Linked DNA regions of Mus musculus. The protein of the gene in region 3 binds, or shares a complex with, the protein of the main gene of each other region. Links are inferred from orthologs where the notes say so. Each region holds a gene or a part of one and is shown on either strand. Other genes may lie near its edges. The genes, in order: Med24, Med23, Med13l, Med25, Med31, Med12 and Ccnc.

Region 1 (3,500 bases), on a different chromosome or scaffold from region 3:
ACCACCGCCCGGCACAGTTAATCTTGATAAAAGGAGCAATGGGCCTGATTAGTGTAGAGGCTCAAATAGTTCACATGCACACACCCGCCTCTGTGCTTCAGGTTGAAATTAGGACACATGCTAGGCCGGCACTGACCACCGAAGTGCATCTTCAGTCCAGCAGAGTCACGTCTCCACCCTTGCCTAGCAGGCGTGGGGCTGAGCTTCATCCCCAGGACTCCCTGACCCCATACAAGACAAGACCGTCATTCTGGGTGATTCTTTTGCCCACTAGTGGCCAGTTGAACTTCATTTAGTTTTGGAAAGGAACAGCATAAAGACAAGGCAGGATGCCTTTGGGTACTCGAAACCCTCTCATTCGGCTTATACGCATGCCACTTGCACTGAGTCTGATGGAAGCAGCGATAAGGACAGCACATGTTACTGTGGGCCTTTTAATGAGCTGAGGAAACCTCTTGAAGGGAAGGGGTTGGGGACCTCACGCTGTGGCAGTTTAAGCATCAGTGCTTGCCCCTCCCAAGTAGATGACTTGTCTCAACGTCCTGTGTCTTCCTTCTTTCTAGATGGTGTCCTGCTCCTCTGTGCTCACCGCCATCAGTAAGGTATGACTGTGGCTCTCAGGAGCTGTGGGAGGGGGCAAATAAGGCTACCAGCCTGGCCACTCAGGTCATGTGTCCCCTGAGGCTGGATAGGCAACACCTGATGCCCCCCGCCCAGGAAGGAGGTCCTGGAAATTAGGAACACATTTCCATGTGGCAAGTCTGTGGCCCAGGGCTTGGGGAGGAGAGGTAGCAGAGCTTGTGAGAGGTAGTGCTGAGCCCCCTCCATTGCTCGCTGTTCTTTCTGCAGTTTGATGACTTTTCCCGGGACCTGTGTGTCCAGGCTCTGCTGGATATCATGGACATGTTCTGTGACCGACTCAGGTGAGAGATGGATGTGGAAGCTCAGAGCATTGCATCATCCTTTCAGTGCCGAGGAAAGCCCAGAGTCTAGGGGACGGACTGAGACCAGCTCTGGGTCCCAGGCTGCTTCTGTCTGCCTGCCTTCCCACCTCCAGCTTCTGTTTCCTTAAGACAAAGTGCCTCTTCTCTATTTGGAAGAGCTACTCTAAGATCTCGTCTAGTGGAAGCTGGCTAGACTAGGTGTCTTACCTAGGATTCTGCCAACTTTCCAACTCTGTCCCCTAGTAGTGTTGTGCCAGAGACTCTGGGGGAACATTGGTGTGGGTTGGATTTCAGCTTTTGGAATAGATACAAATTTTCATCCTTTTTGGGTAGTTGCCACGGCAAAGCAGAGGAATGCATCGGGTTGTGCCGAGCGCTCCTTAGCGCCCTCCACTGGCTGCTTCGATGTACAGCAGCTTCTGCGGAGCGACTCCAGGAAGGGCTGGAGGCTGGCACTCCGGCCCCCGGGGAGAAGCAGCTTGCCTTGTGCTTGCAGTGCCTGGAGAAGACCCTCAGCAGCACCAAGAACCGAGCCCTGCTACACATCGCCAAACTAGAGGAGGCCTGTATGTCCCCTGACTCCCCCACACCCTGCCTGCTGCTGCTTCTGTAGCTGGTCCTTTGATTGAGAGGGGAGAGGCAGGATGCCATCCCACTTCTTTCTAGAAGGATCCGAAATCATCCCACTTCCTTTTTTCTCTCCCCATAAGCATTGCATACATCCCAGGGACTTGGGCAGGGTGGCACCCGAGCCAATCAACCAACAGGTATTTACTGAGCCTTCTCGTGTGTCCAGCACTGTGCCAGGTGCTGGAGGGGGGGATGGGGGCTTCCAAAGGAGCATGTGGCAGGGTCCCTGCCCTCAGCAAGCTTACACACTGGTGGGGAGTAAGATTGGAATGCCATGCGCCTGGAGAAATTGGAGGACAAGACAGGCACGTCGTCTGCTCTTGTCTGTCTTCATGTTGCTCGCCTAGAAGCAGATGACTCAGGTGTGACCCGGAACTTCAGTTAAACTCAGTGCCTGTCAGCCATGACTGGATGCTGTTCTCTCTTAACTCAAGTTCTGTTAAGCATTGGCACCTTACAGATTTATAGGAGGGAAGTCTTCATGAGTCCTGAGCCCCAGCAGCTAGGGCCACCTAAGGGTTCTCCATTGACAGGAATGCTAAAATAGGTGACACCCATGTCTTCAGGGCTCAGTGGGAGAGGTTGTTAGGGGATTAGTCTCTCTGGGAAAAGTCCAGAAAGAGACCGATCACTGTGTCAGAATGGGCTGCTCGGACAGCTTTTCTTCATCTGCTTTCTTGTTAGTGTTGGCAGTGCCTTGCCTTCCTGGGCACTTGATAAATGTTTATTGGTAGAAAAGTAGATGAATACTTCATTTTGATGGATCTCAGGTCTCAGTTGTCTTTCTCTTGTCCCTGTGCTACATGGAGGTTAATTGGCTAACTGGTGCCGTCATTCATCATTTGACCCTTTGGGCTTGTAACTAGGATAAGTGACTAGTAATTAAATACTAAGTATGTGCTGTAGACCGTGAGTGCGGCCATTTAAGAGAGTGTCCAGTGGGCTCCACCAGCTGGGTAAGCTATTCAAAGAGCAGAAACTCAAAAGCTGTGTTGGCAAGGTATTTGGAGCTAGAGTAGAAGTGACTGTCCCCGCTTGGCCACTGGATGCTGTACCCACCCCTGTGCCTTGCTCCCATTGCTTGTGTGTCTCGAGTCAGTTGTGTGTAGTCACTGGAAGTCAGGCCCTTGGTATGGTTGCTAGGGGGGTCTTTGTTCCCGGTGCCTACTCCCCTTACCCTACCCTCAGGACTCTGCCTCCTCGTCCTCAGAGGTTCCTTGCTGGATGCTTTCACGGTCCAGGGAGCGCCACGGTCGGGGAGTGTGGACCACGCCCTGCCTCTCCTTCCCAGCAGTTTCTGCCTTGCTTTTTCTCCACCAGCCTCCTGGACTGCCATAGAGCATTCTCTTCTAAAACTTGGGGAGATCCTGGCCAATCTCAGCAACCCCCAGCTCCGGAGCCAAGCTGAGCGTTGCGGCACACTCATCAGGAGGTTAGGTTTCTGCCGGAGATGGGAAGATGGGCTCCATGGTCTGTGTGTGTGTGTGTGTGTGTGTGTGTGTGTGTGTGTGTGTCCCGCTGTCTCCTCAGTTCCCAACACGTCCCCAATGGTGTCTCTCTTCAGCATCCCCAGCATGCTGTCCGTGCACTCCGAGCAACTGCACAAGACCGGCTTCCCCACCATCCACGCACTCATCTTGCTTGAGGGCACCATGAACCTGACCGGGGAGATGCAGCCCCTGGTGGAGCAGCTGATGATGGTGAAGCGCATGCAGGTAGGCGTGGCCAAGCAGGGTGGGTGGCCACTTGGGCTAAGAGGGAGTAGGCTGGTACTTAAGAGGAATAGCTCTTTTTTTTTTTTCTGAGACAGTGTTTCTCTGTGTAGCCTTGGCTGTCCTAGAACTCACTTTGTAGACCAGGGTGGCCTCAAACTCAGAGATCCACCTGCCTCTGCCTCCCAAGTGCTGGGATTAAAGGCGTGAGCTC
Region 2 (3,500 bases), on a different chromosome or scaffold from region 3:
CCATAGTTTACCTCAGTCTTCTGTCTTGTTTTTTGAGGTAGGGTATCATGTAACCCAGCTGGCTCTGAACGAATTTGCAGCTTAGGTGAAGATCGGCCTGAGCTCCAGATTCTCCTGTCTCCATCTCCCAAGCATTGCGATCTCAGACACAAGTTCCTTACATACATTTAAGATCTTGGTAGCCGTTTTCAAGTTCATAATGTATTCTGATTAACTGCAGTCGTGATGTATAACAGACCTTGAATTTATTCCTCCTGATTTCCAGAAGTGAGTCTTTTTTAATCAGCATGTTGAGGGCTCCCTCCCACACAGATACAAGCACACTTTGCCAACTAAGCTATTGTCCCAGCCCCATTTAGTCATTTGTAAATATACTTTTTTGTTGTTGCCGTCGTTGTATTTATAGGTTGTTTGTGTGAGCCTAGTCAAGAATAATGCTTTTTGCTTGTTTTAGGTTATAGCTTATATCTTAGAACGAAATGCCTGCCTATTGCCGGCCTACTTTGCAGTCACAGAGATCAGAAAACTATATCCTGAGGGAAAACTTCCACACTGGGTAAAATTTTCATTTTCTAAAATTTTAAATTCCTATCAAGATGTTATATAATTGTATTGCTTGTATGTACACATACTGTGTGTGTGTCTGTCTGTCTGTCTGTCTGTCTTTGTGTCTGTCTGCCTATCTTAGTTAGGTTTATATTGATATGAAATAAACACCATGACCAAAGCAGCTAAGGAGGAAAGGGTTTATTTGGCTTAAACTTCCATATCATTTTGTGCTATCAAAGGAAATCAAGATAGGAACTCAAGCAGGGAAGGAACCTGGAGGCAGGCGCTTCGGCAGAGGCCAAGGAGGCCGTGGAGGGTGCTGCTCACTGACCTGCTTTCGTGGTTTGCTTGGCCTGCTATTTTACAGAACCCAGGACCACCAGTCCAGGAAGGGCCTCACCCACAGTGGGTTATGTGATCACTGAGAAAATGACTTGCAGCCTCACCTATAATCTAATCCTATGGAGGCAGTTTCTCACCGGGGGCTCCCTCCTCTCAGATGACTCTAGCCTGTGTCATCCTTACATAAAACAAGCAAACACGAACCGTATGTCTGCACATGCCGCAGTGTGAGTGTGGAGTTGGGACGCTTTGAAAGTTGGTTTTCTCCTGTGTCGGAGGGACTCAGCATTATGTTAGCAGGTTTTCTCCTGTGTCGGAGGGACTCAGCATTATGTTAGCAGGTTTTCTCCTGTGTCGGAGGGAATCAGCATTATGTTAGCAGGTTTGCACAGCGAATGATTTCACCTGCTGAGCCTTTTCATCTCACAGCCCCTTTGAGAAGGTAATTACGTATTAGAGTGAACAGAGAACTCGAGACTGGGAGGGTTCCAAAGGAAGACTCAGGTCATGTGCACATTTTCACATGGTCAGGTATCCTTAGGCTCTACATAGTTTACTTAATGTTTATTTGGGGTAGGGGCAGTCTGTGTACCCCGTGTATGTGGTTAGAGGTCAGTTTTCTTGTCTCCCTGTGCTCCGGATCACTGATATTTCAGGCTTGGTGCCAAGCACCTTTCCCTCTTGAACCACGGCGCTGACCCAGGAAATGCATTCTCTTTTTAGCGTAACATATTCGTTTTGTATCTCTATTAACCCATTGAGACAGTTCTTATGTGCTTAAAAACTACAGTTTCATTGACTGGGTAAGGATGCAGTGGTGTGACTTGGCTCAACTTAGGGACACATGGAGACAAGTGTTTGGAAGAAAAAGAAAGAGCACTCGTCTCTAAGTAACTGCCTGTGCCAGGCTTTGTACTGATTCTGTGTAGTATCTGAACTTCCATAGATGATGCACGGAGATGCAGGATAACCTTGTTTGTGTATTGATTTATTTATTTTCTTTTTCTTTTAGTTACTAGGAAACTTGGTATCAGACTTTGTGGATACCTTCAGGCCCACAGCAAGGATTAACTCCATTTGTGGTAAGATCCATTTAAAGGACACTTAGTGTATTACATAGTACCTGTATCGTTAGTGGGCATAGCTGAAGGGCGGCCTCTTAGGGTGACTCGCCACTTTGACACTCTAGGAGTCTAATAATGACGTTTACTTTTAGGTGCTTTGATTAAGGCAAAGACAGCACTCATAGACTTGGGCATCTCTCACATACGACCATTCCAACAGTTGGGTTTCATCTGACTAGAAACACGTTTTATTTTATTTTGTATATCTTAGTTAGCCGGGCACCCTATCGTTATATTTTGGTTTTGGCTTTTTTAGACAAGGTCCTTAAAATCAAGGCTAGCCTGAGATTATGTAAGCAAGGGTGAACTCGAACATTTGATTCTCCTCTGTCCAACTCAGTGCAGGGGTTGCAAACATGAGCTGCCACACTCAGTGTATGTGGTTGTGGGGAGAGAACCCAGGACTGCGTGCCTGCTGAAGAATCTACCACCTGACCCTATTCCTGGCCCCTGAAAATGCTTCCTAAACTCAGGACCACTGGAAATGTCAGCTAGGTTCTTCTGTAGCCATAGTAATGAGAATTCGAGACTCTCCAGTCTATTGTAACCCAGGCACTGTAACCTAGGCACTGTAACCAGGCACTGTAGCCCATGAACTGTAGCCCAGGCACTGTAGCCCAGGCACTGTAGCCCAGGCACTGTAGCCCAGGCACTGTAACCCAGGCACTGTAGCCCAGGCACTGTAGCCCAGGCACTGTAGCCCAGGCACTGTAGCCCAGGCACTGTAGCCCAGGCACTGTAGCCCAGGCACTGTAGCCCAGGCACTGTAGCCCAGGCACTGTAGCCCAGGCACTGTAGCCCAGGCACTGTAACCCAGGCACTGTAGCCCAGGCACTGTAACCCAGGCACTGTAGCCCAGGCACTGTAGCCCAGGCACTGTAACCCAGGCACTGTAGCCCAGGCACTGTAGCCCAGGCACTGTAGCCCAGGCACTGTAGCCCAGGCACTGTAGCCCAGGCACTGTAGCCCAGGCACTGTAGCCCAGGCACTGTAGCCCAGGCACTGTAACCCAGGCACTGTAGCCCAGGCACTGTAGCCCACGCACTGTAGCCTAGGCATTGTAATCCAGGCACTGTAGCCCAGGCACTGTAACCAGGCACTGTAGCCCAGGATGAAGGACCTGCCATGGCCTTGAGCACATTTACATGGAAATATTTTTGTAATGCATGCAGGCCGATGCAGTCTTCTGCCAGTTGTGAACAACTCGGGAGCCATCTGTAACTCATGGAAACTGGACCCTGCAACTCTGCGATTTCCTTTGAAAGGCCTTTTGCCATATGATAAGGTATGTTTTAAATCCAGTGTAGGATTGGCCATCTAAGAATATCTATCCTGTTTTTTCAAGTATTCGATGCCAGATTGCCTCTCTCTCTCTTCTTTTTTTTTAAAGATTTATTTATTTTATTTTATGAGTACACTGTAGCTGTCTTTAGACACACCAGAAGAAGGCATTGGATCCCATTACAGATGGTTGTGAGTCACCAT
Region 3 (4,075 bases):
TCTACCTCTTTCCAAGTCAACTTTCTCCCTTTCTCTATTTCCACGACGAAAAGTCCTGGAAGGCAGTCTCCGGCATCAGCACTTCTCCCAGTCCCATTACTCTCTGAAGAAGGGATGCTGGTTATTATTGACCGCTTGGAGCTGGAGGAAGGGCCTGCTCCCCTCCACATAGCCCAGTGTGAATGTGGCACCTAAGAGCGCTGGGATCATCTATGTAAGGAATGCCTGCGTGCACGCACAGAGTGGGCGCCAAGGGCTCCAGCAGCCGGGATGCTTTAGGAGCTCAGCGCTCGGGAGGCAGTGAGTCCCGAGCCCTGGCTTCCCGATGCCTGGGTTCGAATCCCGCGACCCCGGGCAAGCACCTCGCTCGCTGCCTTTGTGTCTCTTTGAGTCCTACTCCTCCGCCCGGTGCGCTGCGGCAGGCAGGCCGGCGGGCGGTCGCGCGCGAGGTTTCGAGGAGGAGACACTCCTCGGCTCGCTCGGCCAGGCCGGGCCGGCCCACGCCGCTCCTCGGGGACCCGAGATGCTCCCCCAGGGGGGCTCGGAGGCCGCTCCGGGGAAGCCGCGGCCCTCTTCGGCCCGCGCCCGACGCGCGCCCGCGCCCAGGGCGGGGCGTCCACGCAGCCCCGGCGTCCCACGGCCGCCCGCACCTCTTTCTCTTCCCTCCCTGGCTCCGTCACCCCGCTCCGAGAGGGCCGCGCTCGCTCGGCTCAGCAGCGCCTCCCGCGAGCCACCACCGCCGCCGCCGCCGCCGCCGCCGCGGCCCCTCCCCCGCCCCCCGCGCGGCCGGCGCCCGTCACGTGACGCGCCGCAGCCAATGGCGGGCCGAGCCGCGGTCGGCGGCCGCCATTGCTGTCAGAGCGAGCGAGCCCGGGGAGGGAGGAGAAGCGCGGCCGACTGGGGAGGAGGGGGGGGGTGGGGAGGAAGAGGAAGGAGGGGACGGCGCTCGGCTGCCGGGGTCGCCCGCTGGCTTCGTCCGCACCCCCCCCTTCGCGGGCTCGCGCAGCGGCGGCGGCGGCGGCGGCGGCTCGGGGCGGCTGCGGGGCTCGCGTGCCTCCCGCGCCGGCGCGGCCGAGGGCGAGTCGCCCGCCGGCTTGGAGATAAACAAGGCGGCCGACGAGGCGGCGAGGCGGAGGCGGAGGCGGCGGCCCTGCGCGACAGAGGCGGGCGGCGTTGCCGGCCCGCGCCCCCCGCCGCCGCCGTCGTCGCCGTCGTCGCCACCGCCGCCCTCGGGCCTCCCGCGCGGGCCTCGCGCCCCTGGTGCCCGGGAGCCGCCGCCGCCGCCGCCCGGCCCGGCCCGCTCCGACATGCCCCGCTCTGGCGGCCGGGCTCGCGGAGGACCATGACCGCCGCGGCGAACTGGGTAGCGAACGGGGCGAGCCTGGAGGATTGTCACTCCAACCTCTTCTCGCTGGTGAGTGGCGGGGCGGGGGGGAGCCCGGGTTGGGGGGCGCGACCTCCCCGCCGCGCAACTTTCTCCTCCCGGAGCCCTGGCGGCGTCGGCGAGCGCGGCGCCCGGCGTGGACGTGCGTGGGGAAGTCGGGGCGCTGCGGACGCCGGGGCGCGCTCGGAGCGCCCACCTCCGTGGCAATCACACCCCCTCCCCTCCCCTTCCCCCCTTATTTTCTTTTTTTTTCTTTTTTCTCCTCCTTCCCCGAAATGTGGAAGGCTTTTCTGCCTTGTGCAGCCGCCGGCGCGGGTGAGCTGCAGGCTCGTCCTCTCTCTCTCTCTCTCTCCCGATCGGATCGGCTGCTCTCCCACTCGCCGGCGTCTGCCTTCTGATTTTTTCTTTCTCTCTTCCTCTGTTTCTCCGTTTTTTTCCCTTTTTTTTCCTTTTAATATTTCCACAATGACACCTGCGATTTCGCCCGAAAACAGTTGATGGAAGGCGATGGTGTCAGGGAAAAGGACTCTGGCAGCCGGAGCTCGCTCGCGCCGTTGTAAACACGGACAGCCGCCCGCCTCTCGGGGTTTACTACGCCGGAGAGCGGGAGAGCCATTGCTCGGAGCCCACGGAAGGTGGAGGAAGCTGCTGCTCCTCGCTCTCCTCCGCTGCCTTTAAAAACTGTTTTCTCTGCTTTAACAAGGAACACACACACACACACACACACACACACACGAGCAACAAGCTGGGCGGTTTGATAACATCGCTTTTATCTGCCTTCGCCTCTCCTCTCTCCCGCTCTCGCCTCTGATAATTGACAACTTTTGCTTTGGAAGTGCATCGCCTGCCTTAATCTCGAACCATTTAGGGTGTCAATTGTTCTTCTGGAAGCCTGGCACCGGGCGACGGCGGCTCGATTCGTCGAAATTAAAAATGTATAGAGCTCCAGCAACTCTTTCCTGGCGGTGGCAGTGACATTTGGTGGTAAATGCCATCTTTGCTTTTTATTGGGTCGTATTACCTAGCTCTGAAAACATTCGCGTTGTTAAACCCGGCGCTTACGCTGATAATGGGAGTGCATGGTCTTTAAATACGCGCTTTGTGCCTGAGTTACTGTGTGTGTGTAGCTATGTGCCCGGGAGAGTACGAATTTGTTTAAATATTGAGCAAAGATTTGTAAACAGATGTAAGGCAATTATGTTTCAAGCGTAGAATATAATTGGAAAATTGGTTGAACGGCCTATTTAATTTAGCCTTAAAAACTCAACTTATTTTAGTTGTGTGCCCAATTTTGGTGGGGAGGGTGCTGGGGGGGAGGGTGCTGACTTTTGGAGAGCATGCATTTATTGCAAATTATTTTCTGGAACCCCTGCTGCAGATAGAAGCTTTATTTCCTTTTAGTCCTTGTTTACACTGGATAAATAATTTAGTGTTCAAATTGTAATTAGTTACATTTAATTATGGGTGGCATAGATGCTTTTTCTCCCCTTGGAGACTAGTGGAGAAAGAGGAATTGTTGCCAACTTTGGAAGTGTCATTCTGTTTTCATGCTGATGAAGAAATCAAGCATGATTTTGGCCTACAAAGACACAGGAGTGACACAGTCCCCCTGCTCCCACTCTTGTAAGCAGGCTGATTCCTGATCACCCCGAATTTTATCCTGAGGCTGTTTCGAGGTTCAGTTAGAAGTTGGGGGTCCTTCCTTTTACCCCTGTGGTAATTTACCGTTGATCTTTTGATGTGAGGATAAAACTACTTCTGTCTCTTTTTTCACCCCCCCCTTCCCTTGTCTGTCATTTATTATTAGGTTCAGGGACCTTCATAGATCAGCAAATGTATTGACTAGGCGGTATTTACCCCCCCCCCCAACCAATTTGGTGACTGGGTGACCGCAATGACACTTTTATAGGTAATTAAAATAACCAAGTCAGCTGGTGTTAGCTGGGGAGAGCTCCCACTTGCTGTGCATCAGGCTGAGAGCAGTGCTGCCTGTGTGCATGTGGCTAATGTATACACAGTGTGTTGTGCAGGCAAATGCATGCCTGCTGACTGCACAGCTCCACTCTCAGCTTCAGGGATCTATGGGGTAGAGATGAGATGGTCCGGATTCTTTCTTTAATTTCTGGACTTTGATTTTGACTGCATTCTGGGTATTTCTCCGCTTAAACCAAAAAGTTGACTTGAATATAAAGTACAATTAACTTTTTTGGGTAACTCCATTGAAATGCAGAAATGGCTTAGATTAGTTTTAAAATGTAACGTATTTCCTGATACCTCGAGGTAGGTAAATGCTGTCTAGTTGTTTAAGAAATTTATCTTTATTTTATATGCATCGCTGTTTTGCCTGCTTGTGTGAGGGTGCTGGGTTCTTTGGGATTGGAATTAGAGACCATTGTGAGCTGCCACGAAGGTGCTGGGAATTGAACCCAGATTCTCTGGAGGATCAGTCAGTACTCTTAACCCCTGAGCCATCTCTCCAGCCCTAAACTTTCTTAGAAAACCAAGCCAAATAAAAGAGACCCACGGAAAACCAAAACCAAGAATAAACTGCCAACAGTCCTTTATTCGGATTCTTAATTGAGAATTTTTTTCTGAAGAGCATACACACAGCAGCAACCTATCTTACTTATTGAGAATACATTGCGTAAAGAACATTGTATAGAATAGTTGATTTCAAAGGAGAGGCATCCT
Region 4 (4,081 bases), on a different chromosome or scaffold from region 3:
CAGAGGTAGGGGCAGGCAGATCTCTGAGTTCTGGGAGGCTCCACAAATTTACAGAGCAAGTTCCAGGACAGCCAAGGCTAACACAGAGAAAGCCTGCCTTGGGAGTGGAGGGTGGGGAAGAGATACCAAAAACCAAGGTCTGGGGCAATGTCTCAGTTGCTAACCTGCTTGCAAATGCAAGCAAGTGAGCCAAGTTTGGATGCCTGCCACCTACGTTTTGAAAAATCGCTTGTCTTTTTTTCTTTCTTTTTCTTTTTTTCTTATTTTGTTTTTCGAGACAGGGTTTCTCTGTGCAGCCCTGTCTGTCCTGGAACTCACTCTGTAGACTGATACTGCAACTCAGTCCCACTTGCATCTGCTCTGCACTGGAATTTAAGGCGTGCGCCATCGCGGCTTTGTATCTTTCTACATTAGTACGCTTTATTTAGTAAATTTCTGTCCACACATAAGTTTCCAGGTCATTTTATATTCACTTCGGCTTATGCTGTTAGCTACAATGCTGAGACTCAGTTTTCTCGACTATACCAGACATTACTATTGCACTGTTTATATATATATAGTATTATTATTTTCTTCTTTCTTTTTTTTCTTTTCTTTTTTTCTTTTCTTTCTTTCTCTTTTCTTTTTTTCTTTTTTAATAAGGAATGTATTTTCTTTGATTCTGTTTCTGGCTTCTTTCCCAGAAAACAGAGATTAGGTGTTGCCTAGCAACCTCCACTTAAATTGGAATTCCCTTCTTTCCCAGCAAAAACAACTGCTTCGCTTCCAAGTCCCGGGCAACTTTACAGTGTTGCCTAGCAACGTCGTTTCCAATGATGTGATTGGACCGCTCTCTTTCATCGGTTCCCGGTCAGAAAGAACAGAATTTATTAACTTAATCTCTGTGTGAGACCACAACGGATGGGTACGCGTTGCCTAGCAACCGGATTCCCGACCCTCCCTTTAGCCCGGAGTCGGAAACTAGATTTCGACTCCAAGATGGTGACCGGATGTGCCGTTTTTCGATTTATTTCGTGCTTGATGTTGTGCGCAAAAGTTTGCTCGATTTCAAGAGGCCCTTAAAGGGGCTCGTTGTGCCCATTCTGAGAGTTTCGTGTTGTTGGTATGCCCCAGGGTAGAGATAAAACCACGGCTCGCAAAATGCCCCGCACAAACATGGCCGTATCAGCATCAGCAGAAGCTGCCAGACGTCCGGCGGGGCTGCGCACACCGCGCAAGCGCACTTCTGTTCGTCCCGGGACGGCGACGGCGTCAGCGGCGCTGGCGTCGGCGGCGCGGGGCATGGTCCCCGGATCCGAAGGCCCGGCGCGGGCCGGGGGCCTGGTCGCCGATGTGGTGTTTGTGATCGAGGGGACAGCAAACCTGGGGCCGTACTTCGAGGAGCTCCGCAAGCACTACCTGCTGCCTGCCATAGAGTGAGTGAGCGAGACCTCTCGTCGCCTCCCGCCGCCCTAGCTAACCTAAAGCTCGTGCCGACCCCGCCTTTCCTCCGTCTTTGCAGGTACTTCAACGGGGGACCCCCTGCAGAGACGGACTTTGGGGGAGACGTGAGTGCGCGGCCGAGTCACGGGATGGAAGCCGGTAGACCCCTGTGTCTGAGGGAGGAAAGATGGGGTCCTTAGTCTTGGGTTTGAGAGAAGAAGGGCTCACAGCTTATTTCTAAAATGATCTGAAGTTGGGATGGCCTGTTCCTTGCCAAAGATCTCAGTTGTAAAGTTGTTCTGTCCTTTCTTCCCAGTATGGTGGAACCCAGTACAGCCTTGTGGTGTTCAACACCGTGGACTGCGCTCCAGAGTCCTATGTACAATGTCACGCACCTACCAGCAGTGCCTATGAGTTTGTCACCTGGCTCGATGGCATCAAGTGAGCTTTGCCTCCATTTGGGGCAGGATGGGTACCCCCAAGAAAGACTGTGGGCAGGGTGGCCTGTGATTGAATAGTGCCCCGCACTCAGCAGAACTCAGTGTGGGTCACCACAGTCCCTGTCTGAGTGTCCAGTTACCGTCAGCTTCTTCTTTCTTCCTCTTGTCTGTCTACTCCAGAGGAGTCTGCAGGATGGGTCTGGGCCCTGAGAGCTCCTTACGTGGTTGGGTCACAGTTTACAGTGTAGCCTTTTTTGTTTTTTTTTGTTTTTTTTCGAGACAGGGTTTCTCTGTGTAGCCCTGGCTGTCCTGGAACTCACTCTGTAGACCAGGCTGGCCTCGAACTCAGAAATCCACCTGCCTCTGCCTCCCAAGTGCTGGGATCAGAGGCATGGGCCACCACACCTGGCACAGTGTAGCCTTGAATTGCTGATCTGACTGCTTCTACTTTCTGGTTGCTGGGATTACAGACACCTGCCACCATGACCAGCTTGTAGAGCCAGGCAGCCTAGAGTCATGGCTTCTTCCCAGATAACTCTTTGACTGTCGGGTCCCAGGGTCCTTTGTGCTGCTCGTTTCGTATTTGTTCTCAGTGCTCTTGACTGTCTGTTGCTGTATAACGTTTCCCCACTCCCACCCCACTTTTAAGGATTTCAGAATGCACAGTTGCTCCTCATGAAGCCATCTGTATGTCAGGAACTCAGGAGGATAAGCCAGGCCGTGTGTGTTTGGTCAGGTCTCACAGGGCTGTGTTCATCCACTCTCTGGCATGCCTGAAAGAGCCACGGCCATGAGGCCGTGATGGCTATGATGGCTGTTCTGCGGCTGTGGACAGAGCCTTAGTTCCTTGCTGGCTCTTTGCCATCATGCCCTGGCATATAGCAGAGTGATGCCCAGATTGGCAGCTGGCTCTGCTCAGAGTGAATGAGTGAATCCAGGGGGCAAAGAGGAAGCCACCAGGCTTTTTTGATGACCAAGTGACAGTCCATCACTTTTGTCACCACTTGTTTGGTAGGTGAGTCTATCCTGGTCCAGATAAGAATGGGTGACCAGTGGGATCCCTGGGGACAGACCACCAGAGCCATGTAGGGTGCTGCCGCCCAGCACACAGTAAGCAGTGCGTGAGTGCCCAAAGTTACTGCTTGCCCTGTTCCTGGTCTTGGTTTGCAAATGAATAACAGTGTAGACTGGTGGGCATTGGAAGGGTTGAAGGGGCGCTGGGGCTAACCTCGCCATGTGGATTCCACAGGTGTGTTGTGGTCAAGGTTCATATAGCGGTGCTGATCTAGATCCTGTTTTGATGAAGCAGGTGTGTGTTGAATGTCTGCTTGTCTGCTGTGTTCCAGGTGTGTGTGTGTGTGTGTGTGTGTGTGTGTGTGACATGGTAGGTGGCATGGAAAGCTGACCTGTGCACTGCCCCACCCCCTCCCGGAAGTTGTTAGGATTAGAGTTAATGTAAAGCCAGCCTTCCCATCCTTGACATTGTTGACACTTTGCACTCACGGTTTTTTTTTTTTTTTTTTTTTTGGTTTTTCGAGACAGGGTTTCTCTGTATAGCCCTGGTTGTCCTGGAACTCACTTTGTAGACCAGGCTGGCCTCGAACTCAGAGATCCACCTGCCTCTGCCTCCTGAGTGCTGGGATTAAAGGCGTGCGCTACCACGCCCGGCTTGCACTCACGTTTTTAAAACAGATTTTTTTTTTTTTTAATTTAATGTGTACGAGGTTCTGTATATGCAACACTTGTGCCTGGTGCTCTTTGAGACCAAAAGAGGCCATCAGATCCTCTGGAATTGGAGTTACACAGTGCCATGGAGGTGTTGGGACTGCAGCCTGGATCCCCTGGAAGAGCAGCCAGTGCTCTGAACACTGATTCATTTCTAGGCCCTTAGTCTGGTTTAAACACCACACAGTCCTTTCCATCCTCCTGCCTCAGCCTCACCCATGTTAGGTTTGCTTGTTTGAGCTGCTATACCTAGCTTGGATTATATAAATCTTTTATTTTATTTTTTTAACCCACTCATCTCTCTGTCCCCTCATATCCACCCACAACACTTGCAACCTCCCTTCCAAAATAAAAAAACAAAACAAAACAAAACAGTGTTGATGATTTGTCTGCATGTATGTCTGTGTGAGGGTGCCGGACACTGTAACTGTCCGTAACGGACAGTTCTGAGCTGCCAGCTGCTCTGGAATCCGAGCAGCCAGTGCTCCTAACCA
Region 5 (4,300 bases), on a different chromosome or scaffold from region 3:
TCCGGTCTGAAAATTTGCTAGCATGTAACATTTTATATCTTCTAATATAACTTCAAGTCTATCATTTGGATTCCTAAAGGAATCTATAATTGCATCATGAAGAGCAAATCTACAGGCAGCAAATCAAGTCAGGAAGGTAACGAGGATAAAAAGAAATTTTTGAAATGTTTTACTCTCATTTTTAAAATTAGAGTCTCTGCCGGGCAGTGGTGGCGCACACCTTTAGTCCCAGCACTTGGGAGGCAGAGGTAAGCATATTTCTGAGTTCAAGGCCAGCCTGGTCTACAAAGTGAGTTCCAGGACAGTCAGGGCTACACAGAGAAACCCTGTCTCGAAAAACAAAACAAAACAAAACAAAACAAAAAAGAGTCTCTCTGTGTGGACCTGATTGGCCTGAAATTTGCTACATAACCAGGCTGGCCTCAAACTCATAGAGATCTACCTGACTCTGTTTCTTGAGAGCTGGGATTAAAGGGATGCCAGGCTAAACTTCTGGTTTTTCTGTTGTCTCCTCCTTTGAGAGGCACATCTAGACAGGGCTTACCTGTGTAGAGCTTGCTGCCCTGGAAGTAGCTCTGTAGACTAAGCTGGCCTTGAATTCATGTGCCCACCTCTGCCTCCCAAATGTTGGGATTAAAGGTGTGTGCCAGCTTCTTCTTCTTCTTTTTTTTTTTTTAAGTCAAAGCTATTGAGTTTGATAGTGTCCGTGTTTGTTCTTTTACAGTGAGTTAATGTGTACAATACATTTAGCACAGTGCTCGAAACAAAGAACACTCACTATAAAGAAGGGCAGTACCTCTAAAACTCCCAGAAAACAATACTTCCTACCTTCCTAGATTATAGTTTGGTAGGCATTAAAAATCCAGAAAGACAAGGGCAGTGCTAAGTGACAAGGTTAGACACCAAATTACATTAGAACTATAGTCTGAAACCAGTTGACTGGATCTTAGCTAGCCTGCATGAACAGAAGTGGTGTGTTCTGGCTTATATTACTTAGAGAGTAAGCTGGCTCCCATGAAGACAGTTGTTTGGTTCTGTTTGAAGGGAGTGAGGTAAGAATGGTAGCAGAAATAAATGCAATTCCTAAAATAATCTAAGTTACAGATGACAGTATCTTACATTAACTAAAAGCAGAAAGATTCAAAATATCATTTTCCATTCCCACACAGAGAAAACTGCTCAGTATCAGCACTTTGTATTTATGATAAAGTATACACAGATTTAGGATTATAAAAATTAAACTTACTTTAGATATTTGGCATATTCTGGTTCTTTCCAGTAAAGCAAATACTTAAGATAATTAACAAAAGCTTTGTCTTTGAAGTAACCTCTTTGGGCAAGAACTGAAAGACACAAAGAAACAATCCGTATGTCAACCAACCGCTGGACTACTGATTAGTAATCTCTAAAACAAAGTAGCTCTTAACATCCCTACCAACAGAACACAAGGAATTAAAAACACAAGCCTTTGTTTGCCCAGTTAACTTACAGACCAGAACAAATAAAATCCCATTCAAACACATCGAAGTAATAAATAGTATTACAAACTGCATCTCTTCTCAGAAATTAAGAGCTAGTTGCTTAAGTTAGTGATGTACTTAACTTACAATTAAGGTAGTTTGGGTTGGCTAAACATTGCACAAATTCCAACTCCAACTGAAACCGAAGCCGATTTCCAGCATCATCTAGGAGAAAAGACAAATATCAAAGTGCAGAAGAGACTTTCTTAGAAATTAAAGATATATGTATATGCGTGTGTGTATATATGTGTGTGTGTGTGTGTGTATATATATATATATATATATATATATATATATATATTCACTAAGTAATGAGGCCCTGTTTCCAAAACAAAAATAGTAAAACAAAAAATAGTAAAGAAATCCTTTAAAGTTAATTGAGGAAAAAATAAGTTGAATGGGAATTTACCACCTGCAGGCCACTTTGTTAGCGGAGATCACTGGACAGTCTGTAATAGCTGTGCGGTTCCCTAAGTTGTTATAACCACAACTATCAACTGTGATTACGTTAAGCAAAATCAATGTGCTACACAAAACCGAAGCATGATGCAAAGTGATTAAACAATGGAGAGAAGGCGGTGTCCGCATTAGAATACACAGGTTATCGATATTTCGGGCAAGTTCTTGGGAGTACCTTCAGCACAGACAGTGGAAGGTCTCAGTCCTCTCCCACGGCCCTGCACGGCCCCAAGAGCCAGGGTTGGAGTAGGGGTTTGAGCAACCCAGGAGCAAAGATGTTTTCACAGACCATAGTCTGAGAAGCAGCACAGCCTTCTCCTCCGCCGGTCCCAACTCTAAGGATGCCAAGTTGAACCCGAAAGACAGCGCAGGAAAAGGGAAAAGGGAGGGAATTTCGGGGCGTAGGACCATTCCCTTGGGGTGAAGACTCGGGGTGCAAGTCACAACGTACCTGTCTCCATAGCGACGGCCGCGGCCATAACAATCAGAGTGAGGCGAACACCACCAGCCCCGACCGAACCGCGACTTCGATTGGTGAGAATCCGGAAGCCACGGCTCCTACTTCCGGTCGCGGGGCAGAGTGGGACACGAGGGCGGGGACAACCTCACTTATGGGAAAATTAGCCCCACCTATCTGTGCAGACCCGGCCGGCTGCGCGCGCAGATATCGAGCGGGGCGTGCCGGAGGACTTCTCATTTTTTAGGTCTCAGAGTCCTGCTACCTACCCCGACGTAATACACCACCCTGACGTCACCTTTCCCTGTGTGACGTGACGCAGAGCATGATCCTTGGGCCTCTTTGTCCCACCTGACCAAGGTGTATGGGCAGGATGGCCTCGCCCCTTAGGAGCAAGTCCTCCGCCCCGCGAGTGGAAAGCACCCGCCACAAGGAGACATCGACTGTCCGCGTGGAGACGTCGTCCCACCGCGAGGAAACGTCATCCCACCGCGTGGAGACGTCCTCCCGGCAGGTTCGAACGTCTTCCCGGCAGGTGGAGACCTCCCAGCGCCACCGAGAGGGGCCCTCCCTCACCCCCTCCACGAAGCGACTCCCTCAGTTCCTTGAGGTGTCCTCCCAGCACGTGGAAACCTCCTCGCAGTGCACGGAAACGTCCTCCCGCCACGTCAGGGCGTCGTCATCCCTGAGGGTGGAGACTACTGTGCACCGTGTTGAGAGCCCAGCCAGGCAGAGTGCCAGAATGGCTCGATGAAGTGCCAAAGGTCCTTAGCCAGGACTGAAGAGTTGCCAGCCAGCCATCTTCCAGGAGAACCGAGCATCTTTGGTTTCATGGAAAGAACCCATAAATCAGTGTAAGAAACAGGCTGTGGTTTCTGGGGGCTGTTAACATGTATTGACATTGCAGCACCTTAGACCATCCTGTTGTTGACCCCAGTGTGCTATTAACTTGAAGCCAGCACAGAAGGTTTCAGACTGGTAGTGCAGTATAAACCTGGCTGATGGACAATGAGATTCTTTGAGTCTCTACACCAGGTAAGTTTTATAGTCTTAGGTCACTCTAGGATGTGTTGACGACTTGAAATTTGCAAAGAGGGGCCAAACTTGTCATGATTCTTGACCGCTGGCCTGATCATATACCTGCTTGAAACCTACAGGGCAAGGTATCATCTTTCATACATTATTAATTGGCCTTTATTAATACTTATATTTCATTATACATTTTCTCATGTTGTCATACATAGTATTCCACCCACACTTAAAAAATTAAATCAGGGGGTATAGGAAAAAACAGGACAATTAATAAACAATCAATAAAACCATTAATAATCTTGGAAGGGAAAGTAAAGAAGAAGCCATGACACTTGGCCTGAGGCGTGAGATTGACAGGATGGTAACTGAGTATTACTGCATGCTAGGTAGTAGTTAGAGCATGGCAGCTAGAGCAGTGGAAAAGACTAGGATCTTCCTCTAATGAAGAGACATGCAACAAAGGGGAAAGTAAGACAACATGCTGTTGTATTCCCGCGAAGGAAAGGCTGTCTGTCTTGTGGTAGAGAGTAGGGAACTCTTTAGAGAATATGGTCAGGGAAAGCCTTGCTGATTACATTTGGTCCGAGATTTGTGTGAGTGGACAGTGAGCCATATCAGGATCTAGAGGGAAGTGCATTCTAGACAGAAGGGAAAGTCTACATTTTTTTTAAAAATCAAAGATGTTTATGTAAGAGAAAGATCAGTTAGTATATGAGAGCGTGGTATAAGGAAGAAAACAAAAAGGAGGAAGATGCCACTTCATATAGAGTCTTGGAAATCTTCTGGGATTACAGTAAAGAGCTTGAATTTTATTCTGAGATCATCAAAAGAA
Region 6 (3,500 bases), on a different chromosome or scaffold from region 3:
GGACTGGCGCATGGTCCATTGGTCTAAATTCTGGTGGCAAAAACCAAACAATCATCATTGTGTCAACCTTACTATCTATTTTATGACTAACTCATACTCCCCCAAAACAGATTGCTAGAAGCTGGAATGGACCTCTATGCCCCTCTCATTAGGAAAGACTACATTTAAATAATCCCAAATCACTGAAAGCAACTGTAGTTTACTATGGTTAAAAAATGATTTCATACCCCTCTAGATCCTTGTCCCAGAGCCCCACAAAGTTCTGCTCAATGCCTAACCTTTAAATCCTTAATGTTAAGGTTGAAACCTGACTACGCTGTTTTCCATCAGCTTCTCAAAAGTCCCCCACAGAGCCTTTTTACAGGACACTCTTTTGAAGTCCTGTAGAGACTGGAAAGCTACTGTTAGGTAATCTCCCCTTGGTATTATTTCCTCCAGGCTAAAGAGAACACATTCCTTTAGGACTTCCTCCATGGCCTTGTTTTCCCACTCCAGTCAGTCAAATGTCTGAGGCAGGCAACAAGGCAAAGTGAAAGGGTACAGGCACAGCTGAGTCCACATAGTTACTCAAACCTTACTAGCTCCTCCTGTGACCTCAGACAAGCCAATTAAGCTCTTGAGCCTCAGTTTCCTCACTGGTCAAACAAGGATATTCCTATTCACTTCACAAGGTCATAAAGATCAAATGAAAAGGACTGAGGGCACGGTGCTGTGCATACAGTACCTGTGCATGAGACACTTGCCACTATAATACTGAGTCACAACCAAAGTGCCATATATACAAAGCAGAATCCAGGCCACTCAGAGGCAATTCGTCCCACAGATGAGCTATGCTCACCCCAGACAGTTGTGCACTCACCTAACAGCCTAACTTCTGAGTCTAGACCAGACCACCAGATCTGCTCCTAAGCCCATGCTGGAGCTGCTTTTCTTGCACCCATTCTCCTACATGCTTGTTCATCTTCCTACTGAGGAATGGTTCCCACTATTTCCAGGTAAGGTCTGTCCTGCTGCCCCCTAGCACCCCAGCTCCTTTAGCCTACCTTGAGAATACGTTTAATGCGCTGCCGCTGGGGGTTTTCTCCATCCTCATTGTCCAGCAGTCGATGTGGGTAGCAGATAAGTTGCATGAGGCGCTGGGCCTGGGCACTACTCAACACTGGGTCTTGTAGATCATTGCTATCCTCACACAGTGACTTAAGGCAACGTTCTCCTACCCATTCCTAAGGAGGCTGATAATTAGAGGACAGCAGGCAACCCTGGGAAGTTGTGCCAGGGGCAGGTAAAGGACCCAATGTATAGCAGGGAGGTAGTGTGGTCATGGGCTAGAAACAGGGCTAGATTACATAGAAGCATTTATAGGTGGTATGGGGGGGAAGGTGAGACTGACCTGTTGGCAGATGCTTCGCAGCACGTACTTGGCATAGACATCCAGACTTGCTGTCTCCACAGAGATGTTGCGGCCACCCTGTCTCCGACCGCTACTACCACCTCCTCCCTCCTCTTCTGGAAGTTCTTCTGTTCCTCCCGGCACAGTAAAGCCTGAACCTTTTAGCTCCGCATCTCCTGCGGTTCATGGGTGGGAGATAGAGAGTGCACAGTGAGATCAGAACAGTGTATGGAGACCTGCCCTGGCCCACAGGGGCAGAAATTCCCCAAACGCTGCCCTGTGAAACAGAAATATACTTCTCTCCACCCCCTTTCTCCAAAGGTCAGAGAGACCACCTTTGGGATAGAGAAAGACTGTCCCTGTAGTTCAGCTGGCACTCCACCCTATATACACTTCTGGCATGTCTCTCTCCCTACCCCATTGCATACCGAGTACAAACACAGCCTTGAGAACAGCAAACACAGCCCCATCCACGATGCGGTTCTGGGAGGCAGCCAGCAGGTGGCGGTCACAGGAGGACCGGATTCCAACAGTAGGTTTGTCTGCAAGGAAGTCCAAGTTAGGGGAAACAGGAGTAAAAGCAGTGGGTTGGGAGAGCCTGTTTCTATAACTGCCTGGCTCCAATCAAAGTCACTCACTTCCATCAGACTGGCAAGGATTGAGTTGTGGCGTCTTGAACAGGTGGAGGAGGATTCGGCAAGTAAGCCTGGCTCCTGGCTCAGAATCCTGCTCACTACAAGCTAACAAAAATAAATGAATGAATGAATGAATGAATGAGAATAAAGACAGAGCAGATCTGAAAAAGAACAAAATGGAATACTGTGCATGTGTATGTGTGTGTTGGGAGGAGGAATAAACTGAAATATAAGTGAGGTGAAAGGGGAAGAAACAATATAATCCTGAAGGAGAAGTGGAGCGCAAAAACGTTATACAGCGGAAAGGTCAAAACTAAAAGGTTTTTCCATAGGCTGGGCTGGATGAAGCTCATGCTCAAACATGAGGGAGGTACTGGGTTCAACTGTGGGGGGGGGGTGTGTGAGGGGGTTGCATCAGTGCTGCATCAAAAGAAGCCTTTCCATCCTTCCAGCCTGGGGTGCAACAAAGCACTGGCCTGGGAACTGCAGCAGGGGGGTTCATAATCACAGGCTGGCTAGGGAGCATGCACGAGCATACATGGTACAGTTCTGACATTCTAGAGGTTACCGACTGGCACTTTACCAGCATTGAGGAGTGAAGGGATGGCTGCACAGCGAATCAGGTCTTCTAGGAGCAAACATTGACGGGCGATGAGGATAGCAACAAAAGTAGCCAAGGAATCATGAAAAGACAAATCACTGACCTAAGGAAAACAGATGAACGCCCACTGTGAGTCAGTATGGGGAAAGAGACATAGTCAGTGTGCCATGCCTCCACTCTACTCAACTCTGACCCTCTACGGTCTTGATTGTAGCCAGATTTCTAGCAAATAGGTAAGTGCCTCATCTTCCAGCAAGACCCCACCCAAAGGCTTACGTCTACGTTGCACAGGAGATCATTGAAACCACAAGTGCCATTGTTCGAGGAGCAGCACAAGGCCTTAAGTACTCCTAGCCACTCAGCACTCAAGGACTTGCAATAGCCGGTCAGCTCTGCACAAAGGATGGCGATGTCATTTACCCTAGGGAAAAGTACAAAAGCCCTCAGGAAGACTCGTCCCACAATACCTCAGACACCTAACTTCCGATCTCTGCCCCAATAACAAGGGAAGGGAGAGTATCTCTGGTCAGCCAGCCCTCCCAGTATCAGGTAAAGCATGATACTCATTCCTTAACTCAGGACAGCCCATACCTATCAGGATCATGGTGGCCCACGCAGACGTGCATAAGAGCATTGCACACAAAGCTATAGCGGTTAGCAGGGTTCTCACTAAGACTCTTGCCGAGCCCCGTGTAGGTGAAAGTGTGAGCGGCAGGGTTCTCCAGAGTGTCAATCATGAACTCCGGTGCCCAGCGCATATTGGATTCCGATGGCTCCACGTTACAGTAGATGGTGTTCTTCACTTTTGAGCAAAAGTCACTGCAGAGGTGGGGAAAGGAAACAGCAATACTGAAGGAGGCCTGGTGGGGTACAG
Region 7 (4,011 bases), on a different chromosome or scaffold from region 3:
AAGATCTAGAGGGCAGCCAGGAAGAACTAGCCAGCTTTAGGAAATACCATGAGAATGAGACGAATTTTCAAGCTAAGTTGGGGGTATAACAATGTTATAACAATGAAGCCTAGTCTAGCTCATCCAAATTCAAGAATAAATGTATTTCACAGGTTAATTGTGTACGTGCCTAAGTGGGTGGAATTTAAAAACATCTTTTCTATAGTTGGCATACTAGTTTCACTTATAGAAATTGTTTTCACTCCATTCCACATCTCAATTAGACTCCACTCACAAAGGAAAAACATTGGTGCTATCTTCCTCGGAATTCTTGACTAATTTTCAGGTGTGCCCAATCATTTAGAGACATTTTTTAATTTAAATTAAAACTTAAAAGATTTAGATAGATCCTCACCTGTCCTAGGCTGGCCCAAAACAACGTATCTGAGGGTATTGAATACCCTTAGCTTGCAGGTGTATATAGTGCTGAGTATCACCCAGAGCTTCTGGGGCACCAGCAAGCATTTTACATCCTTGATTATCTACATCCCTTTTCCTCTTTTCCCCTAGATGGCGTCTCAGCATGAAGCAAGGACTGGCCTGAAACTCCTCATGTTCTTGACTCTGCCGCCGAAGTACAGTACGAAACGCGAACGCAAAGTTGCAATGATAACAGCAACATTTAAATATTATTTAATTGCATTTCTGCGGCATACCCATTTGGAACGTAAGTGTTAGCTAGATGTACATTTATATGCTCATGTTTTTAGGTAAACAAGTAGCCGGCTCTGACATAAAAAGATTGCTACTCTAAGTTAAGTCTACACTTAACTCGTTAGGCTTAATACCGACAGGAACTTTACTAAGAGCACTTACATCTTAAGGCCAAAATTACTTTCATTTATTTCTCCTTTCAGCCCTAGGGAAAAAGCAGTCATATACTGCCATGCTTTCTTCAACGCCAGTGTGCTATTTCTGAAGGCCTACACCGTGGATTAACAAGATCCCTAAATGGACCCAAAAGAAAACCGCACTAGACCAGAAACCCAGTGTGTGGACGCTCTGGAGGAGAATTGGCAGGAAACCTCGGGGAGAGCCTCTCGCCACCGGGAGCCTCCGCCCGTGTTTCCTTAGCTCCCGCCTCAACAAGCCCATTGGCGGTCGGGCGGTTGCTAGCTTCCTCCGCAACTAGGGCGGGCCGGAACTTTTGTCTGCCGGAACCGGTGTACGCCGCTCAGTGTTGTCGACCGGCGTCAAGGCGACGAGGGTGCTGTTCTCTTCCTCCGGCTGCGGTGGCTGTGGAGTTCAGCCCAGCCAGTCTGGTAGGAGCACAGTCGTCCGGACTGTGTCTATGGTCGCTCCGCGGGCCGCTTTGCTGGCTGGTGCATTTGTATCAGGGCAAGCAGTATTATTCCATGGCAGGGAACTTCTGGCAGAGCTCCCACTAGTAAGTGAGCTTCCATTTTCTCGCCTGGGGCCGGGGCTGGGGCACAGGAGGGCTGGGCCTGCCCATCCCTCGGGGTTTCCATCCTGGCCGCTGCGGGTGAGCCCTCCCTGGGAAGCCGGGGGTCCGAAACGTGATGCTGTCGTTTGCGAGCCTCCCCTCTTCTCACAGAGAGATTTCGGGAGCAGAGGGGAGGTGAGCTCGAAGGATGGGTAAGAGGTAAGGGGTTTGATCTCCGGGAAGGGAGTCGGAGGCGGTTTCATTTCAAATTTGGGGTTTGATTGGTGGGATGATGTGGGCACCGGCAAGGGAAAGAGTGACCCATTGTAGCTCTGTGAGGTTCCCTGCTTTGGATGGACATGGTTGGCTATTGCTAGCTAGCTTGTTTGTTTGTTTGTTTTTTCATAGCAGTGATATTATAATCTCTTGTCATTCGCCTTACTGTAGATTTAATATTTACTCAGAGGAGAGGAGTGAGTCGTGCTTGTTTCTACCTGCTGCTTCCTGGCCCAGCCTTATGCCTAGATTGACACCACTACCCCCATCCCCGAAGCAGTGTTTCTCACGTTGAGGGATGGCTGCCCTAAAACTCACAGGCTGGCATCGAACTTAATGAAATCTGCCTGCCTCTGCTTCTGCTTCTAAGTGTTGGAATTAAAGGCATGAGCCACCAATTGCAGGCTCCTAAATTGACTTTAATGCTTCTAGAATTTGCGAGCACAGGGGCTCTCAAAATATATCCATTTTCATTCATTAGCCAGTGTCTTATATTTTGCCTTAAAGTCGTGTATTTCCCAGATTTTGTCCTCTTCCTTTAACCACTTAAATCACTAAATTTTAATGTCTTTCAGTGACCATGGAAGGGCTAAAGTAATCTTAAAGATATTTGTCTCTAAATACATTTGGTTAAACATGCAGGAAGTTGTATGCTTGGGCTAAGCGTTGAGCAGGCTTTCCACTAAATACATAAAAAATGAACAGGACTAGATAGAGACATTTAGTTTAATTAAATTTTAGTGGGAAGAGAATAACAAAATTTTAATTCTGTGAATTGGTTTGCTTGTTTCCCTCTTTGCCTGAGAATAAAGAAGAAGAAGGGGGAAAAAAAAAGAAAGAAAGAAAACTGAATTTGGAAACCTGTTTCTGAAAGCAGGTCCTCCCTTGCTACCAAGTGTTTCTGGGAAGATGAAAGGCCAATGAAGCATCACTGGGGGACATTATTTTACATTGTTCTCACTCACTGAGATGTTTCCATTAAAAAAATGAAATACAAAAGGGGATGACCCAAAAAGGTGGGATAAAGCTTGGGCCTGTACTTAATCCTGGTGCTCAGATAATGCCTTGATTGCCTGTCTCAGTGACATAATACTAAGACAGGCAGTAGTAAGTCTTTGGATATAGCAAGAGTCTATCTTCCAGGATGGTTCTTAGTCTAGAGGGTCTGAAAACCTGTGTGCTGGTGTTTGGTACACATGACACTATGAAGGAAATTGAGAAAGAGGTAGAGAAGCTTTGAAACCATCAAGAGATTCTTTACCCTCAAGTTTTCCTGTTTTTTGTTTTTTTCTTCAAACGATCTTGCTGAGGCTGCCAGTGGGCTGCTGAAAAACTAGAGAACTCTGATGAATAACTTACCTGAGAGTTTGAAATGGCGTCTACAGCATCCTTGTTAATCGACCAGACAGTACGGGAGTCACACTGATTGACACAGATTTATATCCAGCAAAGCACTCACAAATATATTCCACTCACAAATAGCACTCACAAAAACCAAAGAGATTTTATTGGTCCAACAAGACTGAGAAACTTGGGGGTGATGGTGAAAACACTGATTGAAAAGGGGATTAAATTAGAAAAATATAAAATTTGCTCCAGGTCTGAATGTATTTGAAACAGGTGAGCATGTATTGAAGAACTCAAGTATTTCATTGTTGAACATAATTTACTAAGGATTTTAGAGACCTATTCTGAAGAGTTAATGCTGAAGTTTCAGAGGTAAACTGGTGCTCTACCTCAGCTGCATTCCCAGCCAGACACTGTCTTTTATCAATGTTTTAAGTACATACCTCCAAATAAATAAATAAATAAATAAATAAATAAATAAATAAATAAATGGAGGAAGAAGAAGCTGGGTGAAGCACTGCATGCCTTTAATCACAGAACTTGGTGGTGATGGGGAGGGGCCGATCTCTGTGAGCTTGAGGCTGGTCTGATCCATGGAAGGAGTTCCAGGATAGCCAGAGCTAACCAGAACCAAACAGACAAATAAAGACAGAGAGAGGTGTGCCTCGTAGAAGATGGTAAGCTTATTGAATCTTAATGTTTTAAATGCTTTGGCTTGTTGGCTTTTTTCCTATAAATTTATTTATTCACTTTACATCCCAATATCAACCCTCTCTCCTCCCAGTACCTCAAGCAGCTCCTCCCCTTCCCATCCCTGCTGTTGCCTTTCTATGCCATGTTTTAAATCTTTACCTTCTCTAGTTTGCAGTGGATTTTGGATAAACAAGATCTGTTGAAAGAGCGCCAAAAGGACCTAAAGTTTCTCTCAGAAGAGGAGTATTGGAAGTTACAAATATTTTTTACAA

Evidence for each region.
Region 1: Med13l (region 3) and Med24 share a complex: the UniProt entries of both Homo sapiens proteins name them as parts of the mediator complex. The link is inferred for Mus musculus from reciprocal best matches to the Homo sapiens genes MED13L and MED24.
Region 2: Med13l (region 3) and Med23 share a complex: the UniProt entries of both Homo sapiens proteins name them as parts of the mediator complex. The link is inferred for Mus musculus from reciprocal best matches to the Homo sapiens genes MED13L and MED23.
Region 4: Med13l (region 3) and Med25 share a complex: the UniProt entries of both Homo sapiens proteins name them as parts of the mediator complex. The link is inferred for Mus musculus from reciprocal best matches to the Homo sapiens genes MED13L and MED25.
Region 5: Med13l (region 3) and Med31 share a complex: the UniProt entries of both Homo sapiens proteins name them as parts of the mediator complex. The link is inferred for Mus musculus from reciprocal best matches to the Homo sapiens genes MED13L and MED31.
Region 6: Med13l (region 3) and Med12 share a complex: the UniProt entries of both Homo sapiens proteins name them as parts of the mediator complex. The link is inferred for Mus musculus from reciprocal best matches to the Homo sapiens genes MED13L and MED12.
Region 7: Med13l (region 3) and Ccnc share a complex: the UniProt entries of both Homo sapiens proteins name them as parts of the mediator complex. The link is inferred for Mus musculus from reciprocal best matches to the Homo sapiens genes MED13L and CCNC.

Annotation. Positions count from the first base shown.
Region 1 is NC_000077.6:98,715,920-98,719,419, reverse strand, and holds part of Med24 (mediator of RNA polymerase II transcription subunit 24), read left to right. Parts: intron 1-136; exon of another isoform or gene 137-149; intron 150-563; coding exon 564-602; intron 603-849; coding exon 850-923; intron 924-1,277; coding exon 1,278-1,510; intron 1,511-1,654; coding exon of another isoform or gene 1,655-1,711; intron 1,712-2,894; coding exon 2,895-3,006; intron 3,007-3,138; coding exon 3,139-3,289; intron 3,290-3,500. UniProt on the Homo sapiens protein: Component of the Mediator complex, a coactivator involved in the regulated transcription of nearly all RNA polymerase II-dependent genes.
Region 2 is NC_000076.6:24,876,486-24,879,985, forward strand, and holds part of Med23 (mediator of RNA polymerase II transcription subunit 23), read left to right. Parts: intron 1-454; coding exon 455-556; intron 557-1,903; coding exon 1,904-1,973; intron 1,974-3,187; coding exon 3,188-3,300; intron 3,301-3,500. UniProt on the Homo sapiens protein: Required for transcriptional activation subsequent to the assembly of the pre-initiation complex. Component of the Mediator complex, a coactivator involved in the regulated transcription of nearly all RNA polymerase II-dependent genes.
Region 3 is NC_000071.6:118,559,444-118,563,518, forward strand, and holds the start of Med13l (mediator of RNA polymerase II transcription subunit 13-like), read left to right. Parts: upstream 1-1,275; 5' UTR 1,276-1,342; coding exon 1,343-1,414; intron 1,415-1,418; exon of another isoform or gene 1,419-2,368; intron 2,369-4,075. UniProt on the Homo sapiens protein: Component of the Mediator complex, a coactivator involved in the regulated transcription of nearly all RNA polymerase II-dependent genes.
Region 4 is NC_000073.6:44,889,565-44,893,645, reverse strand, and holds the start of Med25 (mediator of RNA polymerase II transcription subunit 25), read left to right. Parts: upstream 1-1,281; coding exon 1,282-1,415; exon of another isoform or gene 1,416-1,501; coding exon 1,502-1,547; exon of another isoform or gene 1,548-1,581; intron 1,582-1,738; coding exon 1,739-1,863; intron 1,864-4,081. UniProt on the Homo sapiens protein: Component of the Mediator complex, a coactivator involved in the regulated transcription of nearly all RNA polymerase II-dependent genes.
Region 5 is NC_000077.6:72,212,531-72,216,830, forward strand, and holds the start of Med31 (mediator of RNA polymerase II transcription subunit 31), read right to left. Parts: upstream 2,801-4,300; 5' UTR 2,459-2,800; coding exon 2,431-2,458; intron 1,686-2,430; coding exon 1,608-1,685; intron 1,344-1,607; coding exon 1,247-1,343; intron 1-1,246. Other genes in the region: 4930563E22Rik (uncharacterized protein C17orf100 homolog), read left to right, coding at 2,801-3,190. UniProt on the Homo sapiens protein: Component of the Mediator complex, a coactivator involved in the regulated transcription of nearly all RNA polymerase II-dependent genes.
Region 6 is NC_000086.7:101,284,091-101,287,590, reverse strand, and holds part of Med12 (mediator of RNA polymerase II transcription subunit 12), read right to left. Parts: intron 3,446-3,500; coding exon 3,218-3,445; intron 3,048-3,217; coding exon 2,903-3,047; intron 2,730-2,902; coding exon 2,609-2,729; intron 2,131-2,608; coding exon 2,029-2,130; intron 1,933-2,028; coding exon 1,819-1,932; intron 1,567-1,818; coding exon 1,391-1,566; intron 1,224-1,390; coding exon 1,044-1,223; intron 31-1,043; coding exon 1-30. UniProt on the Homo sapiens protein: Component of the Mediator complex, a coactivator involved in the regulated transcription of nearly all RNA polymerase II-dependent genes.
Region 7 is NC_000070.6:21,726,490-21,730,500, forward strand, and holds the start of Ccnc (cyclin-C), read left to right. Parts: upstream 1-1,211; 5' UTR 1,212-1,394; coding exon 1,395-1,426; intron 1,427-3,907; coding exon 3,908-4,011. UniProt on the Homo sapiens protein: Component of the Mediator complex, a coactivator involved in regulated gene transcription of nearly all RNA polymerase II-dependent genes.